4 linked regions of the Oryctolagus cuniculus genome follow. Each later gene encodes a partner of the first gene's protein in a complex. Links are inferred from orthologs where the notes say so. Each region holds a gene or a part of one and is shown in the gene's direction. Other genes may lie near its edges.

The links.
Region 2: the proteins of AGT (region 1) and ANPEP are in contact, whole or in part, in a crystal structure (PDB 4FYS), measured with the Homo sapiens proteins. The link is inferred for Oryctolagus cuniculus from reciprocal best matches to the Homo sapiens genes AGT and ANPEP. Residues at the interface, in NP_001369746.2 of Homo sapiens: Val27, Tyr28, Ile29, His30, Pro31, Phe32; in NP_001141.2 of Homo sapiens: Gln211, Gln213, Ala351, Gly352, Ala353, Met354, Glu355, Arg381, Val385, His388, Glu389, His392, Glu411, Glu418, Asn438, Arg442, Phe472, Tyr477, Ile864, Phe896, Ser897, Asn900, Gln903, Ala904, Arg907.
Region 3: the proteins of AGT (region 1) and REN are in contact, whole or in part, in a crystal structure (PDB 6I3F), measured with the Homo sapiens proteins. The link is inferred for Oryctolagus cuniculus from reciprocal best matches to the Homo sapiens genes AGT and REN. Residues at the interface, in NP_001369746.2 of Homo sapiens: Asp25, Tyr28, Ile29, His30, Pro31, Phe32, His33, Leu34, Val35, Ile36, His37, Asn38, Glu39, Lys91, Leu92, Ala95, Met96, Met99, Leu100, Phe103, Arg107, Arg148, Ala151, Ile152, Gly154, Gln353, Gln354, Asn355, Asn358, Glu391; in NP_000528.1 of Homo sapiens: Tyr81, Met82, Thr84, Gln85, Val102, Asp104, Gly106, Ser107, Asn109, Ser118, Arg119, Leu120, Tyr121, Thr122, Val125, Tyr126, Leu147, Arg148, Tyr149, Ser150, Pro181, Ala182, Leu183, Pro184, Met186, Leu187, Ala188, Glu189, Phe190, Val193.
Region 4: the proteins of AGT (region 1) and DPP3 are in contact, whole or in part, in a crystal structure (PDB 5E2Q), measured with the Homo sapiens proteins. The link is inferred for Oryctolagus cuniculus from reciprocal best matches to the Homo sapiens genes AGT and DPP3. Residues at the interface, in NP_001369746.2 of Homo sapiens: Asp25, Arg26, Val27, Tyr28, Ile29, His30, Pro31, Phe32; in NP_005691.2 of Homo sapiens: Phe109, Glu316, Tyr318, Glu329, Phe381, Gly385, Ile386, Pro387, Ala388, Gly389, Ile390, Asn391, Ile392, Asn394, Arg399, Val412, Leu413, Val415, Ala416, Phe443, Val447, His450, His455, Glu507, Glu508, Asn545, Arg548, Leu552, Glu555, Phe556.

What each region holds. Positions count from the first base shown.
Region 1 is NC_091444.1:50,286,378-50,291,699, reverse strand, and holds the start of AGT (angiotensinogen), read left to right. Parts: upstream 1-1,774; 5' UTR 1,775-1,930; intron 1,931-2,659; exon of another isoform or gene 2,660-2,989; intron 2,990-3,852; exon of another isoform or gene 3,853-3,988; intron 3,989-4,450; 5' UTR 4,451-4,480; coding exon 4,481-5,309; intron 5,310-5,322. UniProt on the Homo sapiens protein: Essential component of the renin-angiotensin system (RAS), a potent regulator of blood pressure, body fluid and electrolyte homeostasis.
Region 2 is NC_091443.1:99,844,079-99,848,719, reverse strand, and holds part of ANPEP (aminopeptidase N), read left to right. Parts: intron 1-211; coding exon 212-325; intron 326-434; coding exon 435-578; intron 579-695; coding exon 696-761; intron 762-854; coding exon 855-920; intron 921-1,703; coding exon 1,704-1,879; intron 1,880-1,965; coding exon 1,966-2,045; intron 2,046-2,600; coding exon 2,601-2,737; intron 2,738-2,834; coding exon 2,835-2,890; intron 2,891-3,261; coding exon 3,262-3,409; intron 3,410-4,641. UniProt on the Homo sapiens protein: Broad specificity aminopeptidase which plays a role in the final digestion of peptides generated from hydrolysis of proteins by gastric and pancreatic proteases.
Region 3 is NC_091444.1:19,655,153-19,660,494, reverse strand, and holds the start of REN (renin), read left to right. Parts: upstream 1-1,953; 5' UTR 1,954-2,027; coding exon 2,028-2,107; intron 2,108-5,004; coding exon 5,005-5,155; intron 5,156-5,342. UniProt on the Homo sapiens protein: Renin is a highly specific endopeptidase, whose only known function is to generate angiotensin I from angiotensinogen in the plasma, initiating a cascade of reactions that produce an elevation of blood pressure and increased sodium retention by the kidney.
Region 4 is NC_091432.1:5,400,528-5,405,168, reverse strand, and holds part of DPP3 (dipeptidyl peptidase 3), read left to right. Parts: coding exon 1-7; intron 8-880; coding exon 881-1,075; intron 1,076-1,268; coding exon 1,269-1,381; intron 1,382-2,592; coding exon 2,593-2,685; intron 2,686-4,136; coding exon 4,137-4,199; intron 4,200-4,288; coding exon 4,289-4,413; intron 4,414-4,536; coding exon 4,537-4,641. UniProt on the Homo sapiens protein: Cleaves and degrades bioactive peptides, including angiotensin, Leu-enkephalin and Met-enkephalin. Also cleaves Arg-Arg-beta-naphthylamide (in vitro).

The sequences.
Region 1 (5,322 bases):
TCTGCCTCTCTGCAACTCTGTCTTTCAAATAAATAAATAAATAATAAATAAAGGAGAGATCCAGCAGCACGTCACTCCCTCAGGCCACTGCCCAGACTCCTCAGTCCCTCCCTGGTGACATGGATTCCTCCTCCTGAGCATGAAGTCCAAGAGCTTCTGTTACCCAGTGCCAGCTGGCCTCCCTTCCTAGTCTGCTCACTTCTCACCCCTTGGATCTGGATGGTTGGCAGCTTTCCTCTTGTGTGTCCACTCCAGATCCCTGGAGGCTGGCCTGCAGCTCTGGGTCCCGGGCAGGAAAGACTGCGGTGACCACATAAGCTTTATCGTGGTCTGTGGCTGGCAGGTGCGGGCAGCAGCAGCAATTGGCCAGGCTGCGGTGACCACGGTTCTGCCTTCCAGCACCTGAGCCTGACTGTGTTCCCCAACCATCTGCGCGCTTTTCCACCTCTGTTCATGTCACAGCCAGCTCTTCTTTCAGAAAGCCTTCTTCAACCCACCGTGGCAGGCCTGACCCCAGCGCCACACGCCCGGGAACCTCCCACAGCTTTAACAGCCTGCACTACGCCACGTGCCAAAGGCATTTTGTCTGTGCCCTTCAGTCTGCTCGCACCACTCTTGGTATTTTACACTTTCCCCGGCTAAGGGAGGAGCTCTCGGAAGGTGCTTTTCACTCACTTGGGTGCATCTCCCAGAGCCTATAAGAGGCCCCTGCACTACATAGGTGCCTGAGTGGCCTTTTGGGGCTGCTCAAGGCCACACAGCCCACGAGCAGGCAGCAGGCGCAGGAGCAGCCCCAGGGATAGGCATTTGGCACAGTGGTTAAGCTGCCGCTAGTAACACTCGCATCCCATGGCGGAGTGCCTGGGTTCAGGTCCTGGCTCCGCTCTCCATTCCAGCTTCCTGCTAATGTGCACCCTGGGAGGCAGCGGCTGGGTTGCTGCCACCCATGTAGGAAACACACACTAAGTTCTTGGCTCCTCGGGCCGGCACCGCAGTTCACTAGGCTAATCCTCTGCTTGCGGTGCCGGTACCCCGGGTTCTAGTCCCGGTTGGGGCGCCAGATTCTGTCCTGGTTGCTCCTCTTCCAGTCCAGCTCTCTGCTGTGGCCCGGGAAGGCAGTAGAGGATGGCCCACGTGCTTGAGCCCTGCACCTGCATGGGAGACCAGGAGAAGCACCTGGCTCCTGGCTTCGGATCGGTGCGGTGCACCAGCCATGGTGGCCATTTGAGGGGTGAACCAACGGAAGCAAGACCTTTCTCTCTGTATCTCTCTCTCACTGTCTAACTCTGCTTGTTAAAACAAATACACAAACAAAAAAAACAAATAAGTTCTCGGCTCCTGGCTTTGGTCTGACCAGCCCTGGCTGTTACACACACTAGTGGAGTATACCAACAGATGTGAGATATCTCCCCATCTGTTTCTGTATGTCTCCCTTTCTCTGTATCTCTGCCTTTCATATACAATGAAAGTAAACTGATTTTTTTTTAACAGAAAGAAGCAGCTGTTGGGTCCCCTGAGTACAGCTCTTCTCCCTGCCTAGTCCCCACCCCCACCGCTGCAGGTCCTGTGGTCTCACAGAAGCACATCCCAGGGGAGGCTCCTGCACCTGGTAAGAGACAGCTCCTGTGAAGTCCAGTAAATGGGTAACTCAGCGCTGTCCCAGCTCATTCTGTGCAGCAGGGCAACAGCATCGATCACTAGAACTTCCTGGAAACCGCCCAGTGTGAGAGTCATGGCCAGGCTTGGCTGCCTGTGGCTCCCACCCCCACCCCCACCCCAGCAGGCTGGCCAAGTGGTGCAATCCCCTCTCCAGCCTGCACACGGAGCAGCCTGGGAACTGCTCCATGTCCGCCCCTCGGGTATAAAGAGGGCCTCCTGGGAGGCCAGCCGGGAGAAGAGGCTGGGCTGGCTCTGGGGACGGACGCAGCAGGTAAGCCAGGGCCCTCTCAGCCAGGGTAGCTAAAATGGCCTTCGGGACCCAGGAAGGGACACAGGTGATGGTGCCTCATCATAAGACAGACACCCAGACATGGGCCACCTGTCCCTCAGCTGCCATGCTGGGTGTCACCAGAGGATGGAAAGGGCAGGGTGGCCGGGTCCTCCTGCTTCCTCTGAGCATTGCTGGGGTCCTCGGGGGTGGAGGGCACAGACACAGCCCCAGAGTCACTGTGGCCAAGAGTCTACCAGGTTCTCTCCCCACGCGGGTGAAGAGCAAGGCTGCCCTCGAGTGTGCACCCGCGGGTGCACAAAACAGAACGTGATGTACATAGGAGCACAATAGAAATAAGAAAACAGATCAAAGCACAGAATGGGGTAAACACAAGGGAGCTGGGGAGCCTGCCTGGGGGACAGCAGTGCAGGAGGGAGAGGAATTCAGAGAAGCGCAGGTGAGCGGTGTCCTTGTGAGCACTTGGCCACGGGCTGCAGAAGAGGTCTCCAGGCTGGTGAAGAGGCAGGGCCAGGAGGGGTGAGGTTGGGGGTGAAGGAGCCCAGGGAGGGGGCGTCAGCCCGCCACGTCCGAGCGCCCCTCTGTCCTCACTTAGCCCAGCTCGCAGATCACAGGAGGCAGCAAACAACCACCTCTGCCTTGAGAGCCGTAGAATTTTCTATCGTTTCTGCTTGGGTTCAGGAGCAGCAGAAGAGGAGGGGCTGCACTTACCCTTGTAAGTGCAAGGCAGGGTGGGTCCCCAGGGGTTCTCCTGTCCGTTGGATTCAGTTTCGTGTCTGGATTGGGAAGGAACTGGCAATGTGGGCTCACAGGAAGGCCTGCAAGAAGGGGGCAGAGTCTTGGGTCCCATTTGTCCTCGCTGTGTGGCTTTTTGCGGGAACTGTCAACAAAGTCAAATGCAGAGGAGGAGGGGGAGGTGGTGGCTGAGGTCAGGGGTCAAAGTTCCCGTGGTGATCGGATGACTAGAGCAGAACCAAAGACAGCACACACCTTAGTTGAACGTGCTGTGCTGAGGGCAGCGCATCCCAGCAGAGGAGCAAGGTAAGACGGCGGCCCAGAACGCACAGGTGAGGCAGGGAAATTGTCCAGGATGTGACTGCCCACAGCCCTGCAGGCGCCGAGGGGGCGGGGCGAGTGAGGCCCAAGCAGTGACATGGCTGTACGGGATACCCCTACTGCCAGAAATGGGCGAGATGCAGTAGAAACCGTGGGAACTGGATGAACCAATAGAACTTGCTTGCCTTTGATAGAGAACAGTCAGGCCAAATAAATTAGCAGGCCAGCCCCAGACCTCCTTGTCCAGGATCTCAGGCTAGCTCCTTTGTGCTCTGGTGGGCATTTGGTGAGAGAAGGGGGACGGAGCACCTGTGGGGTTCAAACCCTGGCTACGCATCAGTCAATGAGCAGTTAGGAAAAATCCTGTACCCAGCCCCAGCTCAGACCCACGAGGCAGACTCCTGGTGAATGGGGCTGGAGCGCTGTGGGGGGTAACGTGACGCAGGCACAGCTGAGAGCTTGTTTCGGGGCTGAGACAGGTGGGCAATGCCTGGCTTCAGCTGAACTTGGGCTGCTTAATTCTTTTTCATGTTAGGACCACAGGGAAACTAAACCCTCCTTCCCAGGCCACACCACAAGGCCATTTGGAGCCAGGAGGCTCCACAGAGACTGCCTGGCTGGCACATACTTGATTCTTTTTTTTTTTTTTTTTTTTTAGCATTTTGTGATGGTTTTATTGGGGTGAAGACACAGGGCGTGAAAGGGTACCCTTGGCAGGTGCGGGGAAATTTTTTTTTTACACACTTGATTCTTTAGAGCAGACTTCTGGCCACAGGCAAGCGTGTGTTTCAACTGAGCTGCCTGGGCAGCTTCGACGAGACACAGTTCTTTGTTCACAGTTCCGGAGGCTGGAAGCCTCAAGAGCACAGCTGTGCCCTGAGATCTGTCTCCTTGGCTAGCTGACGGCCGTCTTCTCCCTGCCTCCGCATTCTTCCCTCTGTGTGCCTCTGTACTGGTTTGCCACCTCTTCCCACAGGATCACCGGTGAGCCCGGGTCAGGGCCCAGCCTGTGCCTCATTTTCCCTTCATCACCTCTGTTAGACCCTGTCTCCAAACATAGTCCCAGGCTGCAGGGCTGTGGGTTAGGCCTTCAACAGAGACTATGGGGGACACAACTCAGGCTCCCTGCTGCCCCCGCCCAGCTCACAGATCACACGAGGCAGCAAACAACCACCTCTGCCTTGAGACCCATAGCATTGTTCCCGGGGGACCCACACCAGGGTCTGTGTGCAGGAGCGGCCGAGGAGGAGGGGCTGCACTTGGAGTACGTGAATGTTTTCCAAGGAGCTCTGCTCTTGCTTCTTCTCTCCTTTCATTGCAGACACAGGTGGGTTTCTCCCAGGCTAAATAGTTGCAGGAAACAGTGCGACAACTCAAAGTCTGGCTAGAGGACACTTAATGACGGCTTAATAATCACCTTTCACCCTTCACCAAATGATATTTCAGGCTACACAGAAGCGGGCACCTTGATCGGAGATGACTCCTGCCGGCATGGGCCTGGGAGCCACCATCGTTTGCCTCTTGGCCTGGGCTGGCCTGGCCGCGGGTGACCGGGTGTACATCCACCCCTTCCACCTCCTCTTCTACAGCAAGACCAGCTGTGAGCAGCTGGAGAAAGCCGACGTGGAGACGCCCAAAGAGCCGACCTTCACACCCGTCCCCATTCAGGCCAAGACGTCCCCCGTGGATGAGGCAGCCCTGCACGACCAGCTGGTGCTGGCCGCCGAGAAGCTGGGGGATGAAGACAGGCTGCGAGCTGCGAAGGTCGGGATGCTGGTGGACGTCCTGGGCCTGCGCATGTACAGGACCCTGAGCGAGACGTGGAGTGACCCCAGCGGGGCTGTCCTCTCCCCGGTGGCTCTCTTCGGCACTCTGGCCTCTTTCTACCTGGGAGCCTCAGACTCCACGGCCACCCAGCTGCAGGCATTCCTGGGCGTCCCTGGGGAGGACCAGGGCTGCACCTCCCGGCTGGATGGGCACAAGGTCCTGTCGGCCCTGCAGACCATCCAGAGCCTGCTCGTAGCCCAGGGCGGGCCGGGCAGCCAGGCCCCACTGCTGCTGTCCACGGTGCTGGGCCTGTTCACGGCCCCCGGCCTGCGCCTGAGGCAGCCATTTATGCAGAGCCTGGCTCCCTTTACTCCTATCATCCTCGCGCGCTCTCTGGACCTGGCCGCGGACCCGGATCTTGCTGCTGAGAAGATCAACAGGTTCATGCAGGCCGTGACTGGCTGGAAAATGCATAGACCCCTGACGGGAGTCAGTGCAGACAGCACCCTGCTCTTCAATGCCTACGTCCATTTCCAAGGTAAGGCAAATCC
Region 2 (4,641 bases), on another chromosome or scaffold:
CTGGGAGAGGAGGGGGCGGGGCTGTGATAGGCTCTGCCCTGAGCCGCTGCAGAGGGAGGGGCCCTGGCAGGGCAGCAGGGAGGGGGTCCCAGTGATGCCAGGAAAGCCCCCAGGGCCTGGACCGGTGGCTGCTAGGCCAAGGGCAGGGCCAGTGCTGTCCCAGCCACTCGGGGAAGCGCGTGGCTTTGGGGCTGACTCCCTTCTCTGGCAGTGGTTTGGGAACCTGGTGACCGTGGACTGGTGGAATGACCTGTGGCTGAACGAAGGCTTCGCCTCCTACGTGGAGTACCTGGGTGCTGACTACGCAGAGCCCACCTGGAATCTGGTGAGCCAGCTGCACCTCCGGGGGTGGGGGCTGGGGCCGGCAGGTGGAGGAACCACGCCCACCCGCCAGGCCAGACTGCTGATGGCCGAGGTGGTGGATTATTGTGCAGAAAGACCTCATAGTGCTGAACGAACTGCACTCGGTGATGGCCGTGGACGCCCTGGCCTCCTCCCACCCTCTGTCCTCCCCCGCCGACGAGGTCAACACACCCGCCCAGATCAGCGAGCTCTTCGACTCCATCACCTACAGCAAGGTGCTGCCCCGGCCCTGCCACGGTCATGGGCTCGGGGAGGGAGATGGGGCACAGCGGGCGGGACAGCACCCTGGTCCTCCCACAGCCTCCTCATCCCCTCCCTGGCTGCCTCCGCAGGGCGCCTCTGTCCTTAGGATGCTGTCCAGCTTCCTGACCGAGGACCTGTTCAAGGAGGGCCTGGCGGTGAGCACAGATTCCCTGGCCAGACCTGGGGGTGGCTCTCTTGGCTCTCCGCCCACCCCAAGCTTGGCACTCACACGGTCTGTCTTCCCACAGTCCTACCTGCACACTTTTGCGTACCAGAACACCATCTACCTGGACCTGTGGGAGCACCTGCAGCAGGTGGGTAACAGCCAGCCCCCGAGGACTTCAGCCGGGGGTGCGGTGAGGGGGCTGTCCTGAGTGCTGGGGGCAGCACAGGTAAGAGAAGGTGCTGGGCTCTGCTGTTTCCAGCTGGGGCAGGCCCCGGAGAGCCCTGGTTGCTTGTCTGTGCAATGGGTGTGCTGATGGCTCCAGGGACAGGAGCTTCCTCTTAGTGGGGAGGACACAGTCCCGGGGCTTCCTGAGCCTGGATCCTCCTCCCCTACCCAGAACTTTGGAGCCAGTCTTTGCCCGACTCAGCACTCCTGGCTGCCCTGTGCCCCATCCAGCTCCTGTCTGTGGCCAAACCCTTTGCCCACCACGCCCACCCGCCTGCCTGTCTGCCCTTGCAGCCACCCCGCCTGACCCCGCCCCACTTGGGGCTGGAGTCCACACTCTCCCCTGTGGGCCCCCCCATCCGACACCAGCCTCCTTAGCTGAGGTCGTGGCCTCTTTCAGTGCAAGAACCCATCCCCCACAACACTAGATTCCAGTCCAGCTGCCCCCTTCCACTCCCTGCTCCCCGTGGCCACTGCCCTGCCAGTCCCCATGGCCAGTCCCACCTGCAAGGGGCAGCCAGGGTCTTGTCCAGGCCCCGGGTCCATCCTGGCCATCTCCAGCCCGGCCTCCCCTCCCCTGCCCCCTCCCTCCCTCAGGCCTGCTCCCTGCATAGCTGCAGCAGGACCCTGGCTGCTGCCTCCCCACCAGGACCCCCGGGACTGCCCCAGGCAGGTGGGGACAGCCTTGCACTTTGCTCTGCTGCAGGCTGTGAACAGCCAGTCGGCGATCCAGCTGCCCGCCTCTGTGCGCGACATCATGGACCGCTGGATCCTGCAGATGGGCTTCCCGGTCGTCACCGTGAACACAACCAACGGGGTCATCTCCCAGCATCACTTCCTCTTGGACCCCACGTCCAATGTCACTCGCCCGTCAGACTTCAAGTGAGCATGCAGGGTGCCGGGGGCCAAGCCTGGTGTCTGAGACTGTGGGCAGGCGCTCACCGCCCGCTGCCGGTCTCTGGTTGCAGCTATCTGTGGATTGTTCCTGTCTCGTCCATGCGGAACGGCATGCAGCAGCAGGAATTCTGGCTGGAAGGCGTCGAGCAAAGTAACCCTACCCTGTGCTCATGGGTGATGCTCGCCCCACACTCCCAGCTGCGTGCTGGGGGCTGTGCGGGCATGGGGAGGGTCCCAGCCTCTGCTTTGCTGCTGCCCGGCTGTGTGACCCTGGGCAAACTACCATCCCTCTCTGCTCGCCATGTCAGCATCCGTGAAATGGGGCTGAGAACACTGGGCTGGGTGAGGGTTAAAGGGGAGAAGCCATAGAAAAGTCTTCAGGCACAGGCTGGCACAGGGTTGCAACAGTCCCACCCTGCCAGGCATGAGGGAGTGAAGGTCACAGCCAAATAACTCTGTCTGGGCCCAGGCTGGCAGTGAGAGGGAGGGAGAGAGCAGTGAACAGCATCCAGCGCCTGTGATTGGGCTACTGGGGTAGGGGGCTGGGAATGAAGGAACTTGCGTTTCACAGAGTAGTCAGGGAAGGCTTCCTGGAGGAGGTGAGCTAGTCAGGAAGAATGGGCATTAGCCAGGCTAACGCAGCCCGGAGAGGAGGCCATGGCTGCCTGAGCAGCCCCTTGCTCCAAAGCTCTGGTCCCTCCCACAGCCCAGAACTCCCTGTTTAGAGTGGAAGGCGACAACAACTGGATCCTTGCGAACCTCAACGTGACGGGGTATTACCAGGTGAACTACGATGAAGGCAACTGGAAGAAGCTTCAGACGCAGCTGCAGACCAACCCCTCGGTGGGTGGCCCCTGCGCCAGGACGCGCCGCGGGACTGCAGGGCCGCACGCTTGCTCCCGTGGCCAGCCCGAGCTCACACACTCCGCTTCCCTTGCAGGTCATCCCTGTCATCAACCGGGCGCAGATAATCCACGACGCCTTCAACCTGGCCAGGTGACGGCAGGTTCCCTCTCAGGGCAGCAGGCTCCCCGGGCTCCCTCCCTCGGTCCCAGCACACCCACTTCACAGATGCCACTCGGCTCGCAAGTGAAAGGGGGTGGGTGGAGTTCATAGCAGAGCCTTTTTCTTGTGAGCTGAGTGGCCTTGGGACAGTCAGGTCACTTCTTTGAGCCTCGGTCTTCTCATCTGTAAAATGGGTACAATGAGCGAGGGCCCTGGTTGCTGCATTCCCCATGGCAAATGCTGGCTCGCTGGGACCTCGGGCTCCTGGAAGGCCCATTCTTGAGAGCTTGGACTGGGTTTCCAGCTGTGGCTGAGCTGGGGGCCGTGCTTACTTGAGCGCCTCTGTTTTTTTTTTTTCCCAGTGCCCAAAAAGTCCCCGTCACACTGGCGCTAGATAACACCCTCTTCCTGATCCGAGAGACCGAGTACATGCCCTGGCAGGCGGCCCTGAGCAGCCTGAACTACTTCAAGCTCATGTTCGACCGCTCCGAGGTCTACGGCCCCATGAAGGTAGGGGCCCCATGAAGGTATGGCACCGCCCGGTGGGGTCCCAGGGTGTCCACGCGCCCAGCATCGGGAGCTGCCGGGAAGATTTCCTGGTCAAGTCCTTTCCTGAGCGCAGGCCTGATGGAGGGGGGCGGGAGGGAGAGGTCGCAGAGGTGGAGGGAGACGGGACTGAGCAGGTGCAGTGGTTAATGCAGAGCGGGGCGGAACGGCACGCCTGCGGCTTGCGGCAGAGTTTGCCACTTTGAAATGCGGGAAGAGAATGCTTTGGGCAGGCCCAGAAAAGGCCCCTGTGCAGGGGAGGTGGCCACAGAAGACCTGTCCTTGCACAGCTGTGTGGCCTGGCCACCTCCCCGTCTCGGCCCAGGGAGCAGGCCCCTCCCTGCCGGGGGAGGCGCTGGATGAATTTTATGGGAGGGAAGCCAGCTTGTTGTGGCTGAGGTTAAGTGGGTAGGGTGTTCCTGGCAGCGCTGTTGACAAAGACATGAAACAGACAAGAAACCCAGGAAACACTGGGGTGTCCAACAGCTGGGGATTGGTTAGGCTAAGGTAGCACCCCCGTGTGATGGGATGTTACGGGGCCATCAGAGCGTGCTTGAGGAGGTAATTTTTTTATGAAAAAAAAAAAAAAGTAAAATTAAGGATCTACAGCCAATCGTGGTGAGCGAGGTGCTTTGGTGGAGGAAGTTCCAAGTCTGTGACCTGCTTGCCCCGATGCCGTTCCGCCCCCCCCCCCCAGGAACTCAAATCATAAAAGGAGAGGGGACTTCAAAACCTGCACTCCCCACCAGTGCCTGGGGGGGGGTCCGGCTCCTTGCTGCGGTGCCCCACCCCGGGGAAGCAGCAGGTGATGGCCCAAGTGCTGGGGTCCCTGCCACCCATGTGGGAGACCCTGATGCAGTCCAGACTCCTGGCTTTGGCCTGGCTCAGCTCCAGCTATTAGGGGAATTTAGGGAGTGAACCAGTGGATGGGAGGTCTGTGTGTGTGTGTGTGTTTGTGCGTGTGCGCGTGTGTTTCAAATAAAATAGTTTTTTTCAAGACTCATAGCTCATAGGAAAATGGAATGAAATAAGTTTATTTTGGTGCAAAGGATGTTAAGAGCCATCATTTTTCGTAATTCCCCCTTTTCCTGAGCTTTTTAAAGACCTCCTGTATATATGACTTAAGGAAATTTCTGCACCAAAATGAACTTCTCTTTTTCATCCCACTGTCCCGTGAGCTTTTGCACACGCGCTCG
Region 3 (5,342 bases), about 31 Mb from region 1:
GGCTCCTGGCTTCAGATTGGTCCAGCTCTGGCTGTTGCAGCCAATTTGGGAGTGAACCAGCAGATGGAAGACCTCTCTCTCTCTGCCCCTCCTTTTCTCTGTGTGTAACTCTGACTTCAAATAAATAAATCATAAAAAAAAAAAAGAAAAGAAGGGCAGAAGGAAGGGGGGGGGGTGGAGAGACTCCTCTCTCAGTCCTCACTCACATTTCCAGCTCTCAATCTCCTTCCCTACGGCCCAACTTCTTCCAAAGAGCTGCCTTTGCTATTTGAGGGGTTGTCAAACCATTCATGGGAAAGGAATTAAAGATGGGTTCAAAGTTGGATGCAAAAGCAATTTGAAAGGCAGTTCGACTGTCCTGTCCTTCCTTGCTGTCTTTGTCTGCTTGGACCGCTGTGAAACCATGGATGGGAGCACCTGTCAGCCGCAGACCTGGAGGCGGGGCGGTGGGCTGAAGGTGCCCACTCAGGGGTGATTTCCTAGGGGAGACCTTCCTGGAGGTCACTGCCGGCACTAGCTATCATCACTGTGTATGTCAGCGTGTGATGGTAGCGGTCTATTTTCCTAGAATGTGGGTGCACAGGAGCAGAGGTGTATGCATTTTTGTCACCTTTGTAAGCCCAGCATCTGGCAAAGCACAAATGCTCAGTGAACGAGGATTTACAGAGCACCAAGGGTTGGCCGTGGTGATGCGCTGCGCTATGACTCCTGGGAGTGCTTGGGGTTGAGTTCCACCTCTGCTGCAGATCTGGCTTCCTGCTGATGCACCTGGGAGGCAGCAGGTGATGGCTCATGCTCTTCACGGCACGAAGGCAGCCCATCCCCGGCTGAGTCTGGGCTGAGTCTAGGCCTGCCCCATGGAGGAGGACGGCCCTGAAATCAGAGAGAAGCTGAATAAACCACACCCGTCCTGGCACTTAGGGGCCAGGTGTGTGGGCACCGCCTGACTGCTGGGCAAGCTACAGGGAAGGGGGAAGGACGCAGACTCGGCCCAAACGGAACCCGGGCCACGCAGAAGGGGGTGGAGGGGTGGGAAGGCGGCTGCGCCCCCTCCTCTGCAGGAGCCCCCCAGGGCGCAAGGGCCGCCCTCCCCCGGCCCCTGCTTCCCAGTCTGCGGGCTTGACCCGCGGGACCCCCACACCGCCAGGATGGTGGAGCGACGGCAATCTTCGGCAAGAAGCACCGGAGACAAGTGTCGGTGAACTCATCCTCTGTATTAACGACCATGCACACCTTTTAAAGGGCAGGCAGAAGGGGCGTAACTAATTCAGGGCAACACTAGTTCTATAGGAGAGAACCGACATGGGCACCTCTATGCTTCTCCAATCGGCTTGAGGGTCTCGTAGCTGGGATAGCTTTCCAGGTGGTCCTAATGGGCCCGGGCCGCACCCAGGAGCTGTTTACTTGATTGGCAATTACAGGACCCTACAGGGAGTGGGGGGAGTGCCTGGGGCTCCCACCGCCTGCCAGCCAGCAGTCAGGTTGTGGGGGCCCTCCCGGCAGGCATGGTGTGCCATGCCTCTCAGCCTCCTGCATGGGTAGGGCAGGCAGACTCCCCGCCAGGTACAGGATCCCCCACACACACCAAGGACCAAGCCAGGAAGCTTCCCTCATGTTCCAGATGGGAAGACCAGGTAAGAGGCGGGGGCAAAGCTGGGCTGAGGCTGACGAGGGAGCCCCAGGGCCATGGGGGCTGGGAGCTGGGAACCAAGTTCTCTGCCCAGCCCAGCCCAGGCCGATCCCTGAGCACGGTTTGCTCATCAGCCTCCACCCCCGCCGGGGGTCGCGGGGCCAGGCCAGGCGAGGAGCCACTGGCGTCACTGGGCACAGAGCCCTGCTCCACGTCCAGGAAGCCTGGTCCCCCCGGGTGGGATTTACGAGTGGCTGCCGCGCCTCTGGCCCCGTGCAATAAATCAGGACCCTGCGGGACGGTGAGCATGCCTCGTGCCGGTGTATAAAGGAAGAAGGACCAGGGAGCCCCAGGCTGCAGTGGAGCCAGCGTGAGCGAGCTCGGCCCCGGGAGCAGAATGCCTCGCTGGGGACTCCTGCTGGTACTCTGGGGCTCCTGCACCTTGGGTCTCCCCGCCGACACCAGCGCCTTCAGAAGGTAACTCGGGCAGGGAAGGGGCGGCAGGGACTTGGAGGCTCCCACCTTCCTGGCACCCGGTCAGCTATGTGGTGCCGATTCGTCCTCATGACCAGCTGGGCAAGGAGGTGTAGTCCTGTTCAGAGAGGGCAAGCAGCTTGCCCAGTGTCACACAGCTCGGCAGCCATGCCTTCTGGACCCTACCTGGGGCACGGGGGAGTGGGGCGGAGCTCAGAGATGATTGAGATGTGTTTCTGGCCCTCCCCCACCCCCGAGCTCACAGCCTGGTGTTAGGAAGGGCGTGAGGGATGGGTAGTGTAAACTCTGCCAGGGAAGCAGGCTAAATGCACACCTTGCAAAGGTGGCCCATCTGGTTCAAATTCTGCTCTACCTCTGGAACCCTGCACATGCTACTTAACCTCGTCAAGTCTCCGTTTGCCATTTTTAAAATTTATATTTAGGGGCCAGCACTGTGGCATAGCAGGCGAAGCACCTTCCTGAGTTGCCAGCATCCCATATGGGCACCAGTTTGAGTCCCGGCTGCTCTACTTCTGATTCCAGCTCCCTGTTAATGGCCTGGGGAAGGCAGTGGAAGATGGCCCAAGTCCTTGGGCCCCTGCACCCATGTGGGAGACCTGAAGAAGCTCCTGGCTTCGGATCTGCCAGCTCTGGCTATTGTGGCCATTTGGGGAGTGAACCAGCAGATGGAAGACCCCCTCTCTGTCTCCTTCTCTCTTTCTGTAACTCTGCCTCTCAAGTAAATAAATAGATCTTTTTTAAAAAAAAATCTATTTTGAAAGGCAAGGTGATGGGAGGAGAGAGAGAAGAGAGAGATCTTTCATCCACTGGTTCACCCCTCAAATGCCCATGGAGTCAGGGCTGGGCCAGGCTGAAGCTAGAAACTCTATCCGGGACTCCCAGATGGGCAGCAGGAGCCCAAGGACTTGGGCCATCATCTGCTGCCTTCCAGGCCATTAGCATGGAGTTGGATCGAAAGCAGAGCAGCTGGGACTTGAACCTGCACTTCAATAGGGAACTTAGGCATCCCAAGGGCTGGCTTAACCCGCTGTGCCACAGTGCCTGCCTGCAGCTGGAGGAATTGTGCTGCCCGCCCTGTGCAGAGTGGAGAAGGCACTTGGGGAGGTCTGAATCGATGTGCTGCGTTCTCAAGGTGCTGTCGCTGCCATACACCCCAGGACTCACAGGGACTGCGCAGGGGGCAGCGGGCTTGGGCTGCAGAGTTGTGCTGGGGTAGACACCACCGTTAGACCCATTTTCATAGGGAAGCAAATGAGGGTCTTAAAAGGCCCAGAGAGGTTAGGCAGCTTGCTTAGAGTCACACAGGGGTTTCAAGCTCTGTGTGCTTCCCCACCATATGGCACTGCCTCCCTGGGCTGGTGGGGAACACCAGTGTGGACCGAGTCTTTGGGGGCAAGCTTCTAGGTCTCCCACATGGGTGCAGGAGCCCAAGGGCTTGGGCCATCTTCTACTACCTTCCTAGTCACACTAGCAGGGAGCTGGATTGGAAGTGGAGCAGCCGGGACTCGAATCGGCACCTGTACGGGATGCCAGCATCAAAGGGCGGTGCTTAACCTGCTGGGCCACAGTGCCGGCCCCAGCAAGGTTCCGGAGGCAGGGGTGTGTGCTGAACTTTGAAGAGTGAAGAACTGGGAGACAGAAGGGGTTTCCCGAAAGGGGAGTGGCAGCAAAGCCAAGGCGCTCAGCAGAGGATGTTTGGAGTGGAGTCAGAGCCTCTTCTGGGCTTAATAAAATCACCCACCCCATGGGATGAGTGAGGATCAAAGGAAACGCCACCTGTGAAGCCAGCTCGTGACCTGTACACCGTGAGAGGACAGTTCCAGCACAACCTCTGGGGATAGGCACGCAGGCGGCACTCACGTTCATGGGCCGGCGCGGCGGGGGCAGGAGACGTGAGTGCAGGGTGCACCCGCCAAAGGAGGAGGGACTCTGTGTATAGGAAAATCTACTGCCAGGTTAAGTGGGGATTCAGTCCTGGGACCTCCTGGCCAAGGCTGGAGATGGCTTCCTCCAGGCTTTGGCAAGCAGCCTCCACGTCCGCACCCCGGGGGATCCTCTGGGAAAGATAGCCAGCCACGTGCGTCAGCCCCCTGCTCCCCTGTTCCTGAGTCTCCTCCCGTAGAGCATGGGATAAGGACGCTAGTTTGCAGAGCTGCTGCTGTGTGGCTGGCCTGGGTGAGTGTGCACAGTTCTACATCCCTATCTGGCACCAGCTCACCATGCTCCAGACCCCTAAGTCTCTAACTGCCTCCCAAAGGGGATGGGGAGGTGTCTGGACAAGAAGCCCAGGGACAGAGACTTAGGCCCAAGACACATCTTCCCGAGGACAAGGTGCACGGGCACCCTGCCTGGCCTGATGCTGTGGGTCTGCTCCACTCCAGCCCGTCTGGGTGCCAGCTCCCAGGTGTCCTACCGACCCTGCAGAGTGCTTTGTGTATCTGCTGCCACCTAGAGGCCACACATGGCACTGCCTCCCTCCTTTCGGCTTGAGGGATGCTGGCCCCAGCGGGAATGGCGAGCTGTGGCTGCCTGTTTCCTTGTCTGTCTCCTGCCTGGTGGGCTTCCTTGAAGGCAGCAAGGATCTTTACCTATCTCCAGGACCCTGCATAATGCGGCTCAGAGCAGGTGTTCAATGCGTGATTATGGGATGAGTGAGCAAATAAATGGGCCATCACACAGATGGCCTCATCTAATCAAATTTAGACAACAGGGAGAGGTTAGCCAAGGATTATCTAGCACCAGGACCGGTGGCTCACAGAAGGCCCTAGGCTGGGACGTGACCCCATGGCGCCCAGGCTGAGGTCCGCGGTGGGCTGAGACTGCGGCAGTCCCGGGGGCCAGTACAGAGTTCTGTTTCTGCTTCCTCCTCCCTGGGCCAGGATCCTCCTCAAGAAAATGCCCTCAGTCCGGGACATCCTGCAGGAGCGAGGTGTGGACATGGCCAGGCTGGGTGCCGAGTGGAGCCGGTTCACCAAGAGGCTCTCCCTGGCCAATGGCACCACCCCTGTGGTCCTCACCAACTACCTGGACGTGAGTGCCTGTCCCGCCGGGTCCCACCCCTACCCCCAAGTCCCCTTCTCTCTTGGCCCCAAGGTTTCCTTTGCCAGCAAGGCCCACTCTTCCCAAGCTGCGTTTCACCGAGGAGCCGAGGAATTGGGTTCCACCGAAGCACCCCACGGAATTCCCATTTAACAGCTGGGGAGCCCGAGGCACAGAG
Region 4 (4,641 bases), on another chromosome or scaffold:
TTTGAAGGTAACTTTTGCGGGGAGCGGGGCTCAGATTCCTTTTGTTCCTGTCTGAGCTCAGGCTCCCAGAATCCCCTGAGGGCTCCCCGACCCCCTTCCCCGGGCAGTAATTGTCACAGCAACAGGCGTGGCAGATGTTGTTGACTTTACGAGCCACGTCGGTGTCCCAGGTACAGTCTCGCAAAGCTGACCTCTGCAGGCGTGGGAGCTGGGGCGCAAGTGGCAGGTGGCGGAGCCCCAGCGCCCCGGCCCTGAGCCACTGTGCTGTGCTGCCTCTGGTGTCCGTGTGGTCAGGGCCCAGACTCGCCGCACACGGACGCAGGTTCCCAGCCAGGCCTTGCCCCGTGGGTGTGTGGCCCCAGGCCAAGTAGCCCTAGCTCTGAGGTGAAGTGAGATGCAGTCACCGACGCTCAGTGGCTGGACGTGTGATTGATGCCATGGCTGTGGCTAGTCATCCCGTCCCTGGTGGCAGGCTGCCTGACCCCTGTCCCTCGGTCCCCACGTCCTGTGGGACCCAGTTGTGCGAGGCAGGGGGCCCATCGTGTGCAGTCAGTTTGTCTCCACACACCCTTGCCTTGTCCCACCATGGATGCATTGTGAGCTTCTGGCTGCCCAGGCTGAAGAGGTGGGCCTGGGAGAGGAATCCCAGCCCTCAGACCAGGCCCAGGGGCCCGAGGGAGGGAGGGCCATCCACCTGCAGCTTTCCTGCCCAGGGCCTGATCCAGCAGGACCCGGGCTTGGGTCATTGCTGTCTGACCCAGCACAGGGTCACTGCTCCCAGCAGGCATTGAACACATGCGTGATGGTTAGCGGGGTTGAGCAGGGTGAGGCGGGACCCTCCCTTCACCCTGCCAAGCCACAGCTCCCGCCTCCCCTGCAGGCTTCGTGGCCATGGTGAACAAGGCCATGAGTGCCAAATTCGAGCGGCTGGTGGCCAGCGCCGAGCAGCTGCTGAAGGAGCTGCCCTGGCCGCCCGCCTTCGAGAAGGACAAGTTCCTCACCCCTGACTTCACCTCCCTGGATGTCCTCACCTTCGCCGGCTCCGGCATCCCTGCCGGCATCAACATCCCCAACTGTGAGCTCCCCCAGCATTTCCCGAGCCCGGGCGGTGGGAGGGTGGGGGCGGGGCACCACTGGGAACTGCCCCTCTCCGACGGATACCCTGGCCGCAAACCACCCTGCTCAGTGCGTCCTGCCAGCCCTTTCTCTTGTTTGTGACCCTTGACCTCTGCCCCTTCACCCTTGGTCACACTCCCTGTGTTCTCCAGACGATGACCTGAGACAGACCGAAGGCTTCAAGAACGTGTCACTGGGGAACGTGCTGGCCGTGGCCTACACCACGCAGCGGGAGAAGCTCACCTTCCTGGAGGAGGACGACAAGGTGGGCACGCCAGGGTCAGGCTGGGCCAGGGCCAGGGTCAGGCTGGGCCAGGGCCAGGGTCAGGGCTGGGCCAGGGTCAGGGTCAGGGCTGGGCCAGGGCCAGGGTCAGGGCTGGACCAGGGTCAGGGCTGGGCCAGGGTCAGGCTGTGCCAGGGTCAGGCTGGGCCAGGGCCAGAGTCAGGGCTGGACCAGGGTCAGGGCTGTGCCAGGGCCAGGGTCAGGGCTGGGCCAGGGTCAGGGCTGGGCCAGGGCCAGGGTCAGGGCTGTGCCAGGGTCAGGGCTGGGCCAGGGTCAGAGTCAAGGCTGGGCCAGGGCCAGGGTCAGGGTCAGGGCTTGGCCAGGGCCAGGGTTAGGGCTGGGCCAGGGTCAGGGCTGGGCCAGGGCCAGGGTCAGGGCTGGGCCAGGGTCAGGGCTGGGTCAGGCTGGCCTCAGGGTCAGGGTCAGGGTCAGGCTGGGCCAGGGCCAGAGTCAGGGCTGGACCAGGGTCAGGGCTGGGCCAGGGTCAGGGCTAGGCCAGGGCCAGGGTCAGGGCTGGGCCAGGGTCAGGGCTGGGCCAGGGCCGGGCCAGGGCCAGGGCCAGGGCTGGCCAGGGCCAGGGTCAGGGCTGGGCCAGGGCCAGGGTCAGGGTTAAGGCTGGGCCAGGGCCAGGGTCAGGGTCAGGGCTTGGCCAGGGCCAGGGTTAGGGCTGGGCCAGGGTCAGGGCTGGGCCAGGGCCAGGGTCAGGGCTGGGCCAGGGTCAGGGCTGGGTCAGGCTGGCCTCAGGGTCAGGGTCAGGGTCAGGGCAGGGCCAGGGTCAGGGTCAGGGCTGGGCCAGGCTGGCCTCAGGGTCAGGGCAGGGCCAGGGTCAGGTTCAGGGCTGGGCCAGGCTGGCCTCAGGGTCAGGGCTGGACCAGGGTCAGGGCAGGGCCAGGGTCAGGTTCAGGGCTGGGCCAGGGTCAGGGTCAGGCCTCAGGGTGGACGGCCCGGAACCTTCAGGAGGAGCAAGCGCAGCTTCGGTTCCTGCCGCACCACTATCCCGCGGGACCGTGTGCCACTTTGGAGCCTCAGTTTCCCCGCTGGTCACACAAAGGAGGCGGTCCCTCCCGCGTCCCTCCCCAGTGGCGGCTGGGATGGGGGGCCTGCCCCAGGCAGGCGCGCCGTGTCGGGCCCCGGGTCCGGGCTGAGTGGCCGTGGTGGGACGGCAGACAGCGGGCCCCTGCATGTCTCGGCAGGACCTGTACCTCCGCTGGAAGGGGCCCTCCTTCGACGTGCAGGTGGGGTTGCACGAGCTGCTGGGCCACGGCAGCGGCAAGCTCTTTGTGCAGGTAAGAGGCAGCGCCCGCGCGGGCCTTCCCCTGCCCCCCCCCCCCACCCAGGGTGGAGCTGCTCCGGGTCTGCCCTCTGGGGGCTTTGGGTTGGTGGAGAAATGACCCCTGAAGCAGGGAAGACCCCGCCCTGCCCTCCCCCGCGACGTCCCAGGGCTCGGACGACTCCGTGGGTGCACGGGGGCAGCCTGGGGGCAGCTCAGCCTGCGCCAGGGTCGCTCTGCTCAGGCTGCAGCAGCCCCGGGGTGCAGGCTGCGAAGAGGCAGGCCCTGGATGCTCCCGTCCTGAGGCTGCGGCCCCGGCTGCCCGCCACTGCTGTCCCCCTGGGCCACAGAGGTTTTGGATACCCTAGGGAGCCACCTCCCCCAGAGCAGCCGCTTCCTGCTGGCTGGCCTGAGCACCCGGAGCCCTTTGAACACCACTCGGGAGCAGCAGGCCGAGTGGAGCTGCACAGAGGAGACGAAACGGGGCAGCGCGGCGACGGCCGGCTTCGGCGTGGGCCCTCCGGGAGACAGGCTGCGTCCCTGGACGGGGGAGCTGGCTGGGAAAGTCAGGGGGCGCTTGTCCAGCCTGTGGCCTTGGGAAAGGCCGTTCCTGTCCTAGGCCCCAGTAAAACAGGGTTCCTGGCCCTTCTGCCCGTGGCCTGTCGAGGCTGGACAGCCAAGGTGGGCGGGTAGTGAGCCCTGGCACACAGCAGGCCCCCTGCACATGGCTGTCCGTGTTGGAGACGCTGTGCATGGCGTCTGGGGGCTCTCAGCGTCCGAGCCTCAGTTTCTTCATCAGAGAAGTGGGAGAATAACAGCCTTCCCTGGAGGGTGGTTGTGAGGATTAAATGGGTGACGGGTGAAGGTGCCAGGCGCGCGGCCGGTCTGCGGGTCTGAGGCCTCTTCCAGCAGTGCCGGGGAGCAGCCAGGAGAGAGAGACCTCCCATCTTCTGGTTCATAGCCTTCTGTCTCTGGTTCACTCTCCAAATGCCTGCAACGGCCAGGGCTGGGCTGGGCCAAAGCCAGGAGCCTGGAACCCAATCCAGGTCTCCCACGTGGGTTGGCAGGGGCCCACGTATTTGAGCCACCACTTGCTCCTTCCCAGCGTGCCCATTAGTGGGAAGCTGCACTTGGAGGCAGAGCCGGGGCTTGAACCGGGCACTCCATTGTGGGAGTGGGTGTCCCACAGGGCATCTTGACTGCTATGCCGAATGCCTGGCCAGGTTTGGGTCTGGGGGTGACTCAGGCAGCTCCCTCCCTGTCTGGCCATCCGTTTCCCTCTGTGCTGTGGACAGGTAGCTGGCTCTTCCACTCCACAGGACTCAGGTTTGCGAGCATCTGTCTGCTCGCTGCTCCTGGCCCCCCCTTCCCGAGCCGCTTCTCGGACCCAGGCTGTCAGGGCTGAATGCCTGGACTGTGCTGGGGCCCCTTTCTCTCACTCACCCCCCGTACGTGTCCCTTCTGCAGGATGAGAAGGGGGCACTGAACTTTGACCGGGAGACAGTGATCAACCCCGAGACAGGGGAGCAGGTGAGGGCGGCCAGGGTGTTGGGAGGTGGGCGTGGTGGGGCCAGGGCCACGCTTGCCCCTAAGCCTGCTTCCCGGGCCTCTTCTCCCAGATCCAGAGCTGGTACCGCAGCGGGGAGACCTGGGACAGCAAGTTCAGCAACATCGCCTCCAGCTACGAAGAGTGCCGGGCCGAGAGCGTGGGCCTCTACCTGTGCCTCAACCCTCAAGTGCTGGAGTAGGAGCCGCGGGCTGGGGGGCGCACACCTGCTGCCGGGTGGTGGGCTCCACGGGCACCGCCTCGCCTGATGGCGCATGGCCCCTGACCCTCCCTGTCGCTGCCCCTCCCTCCCCCACCCAGGATCTTCGGCTTCGAGGGGGCCGACGCGGAAGACGTGATCTACGTGAACTGGCTCAACATGGTGCGGGCTGGGCTGCTGGCCCTGGAGTTCTACACGCCTGAGGC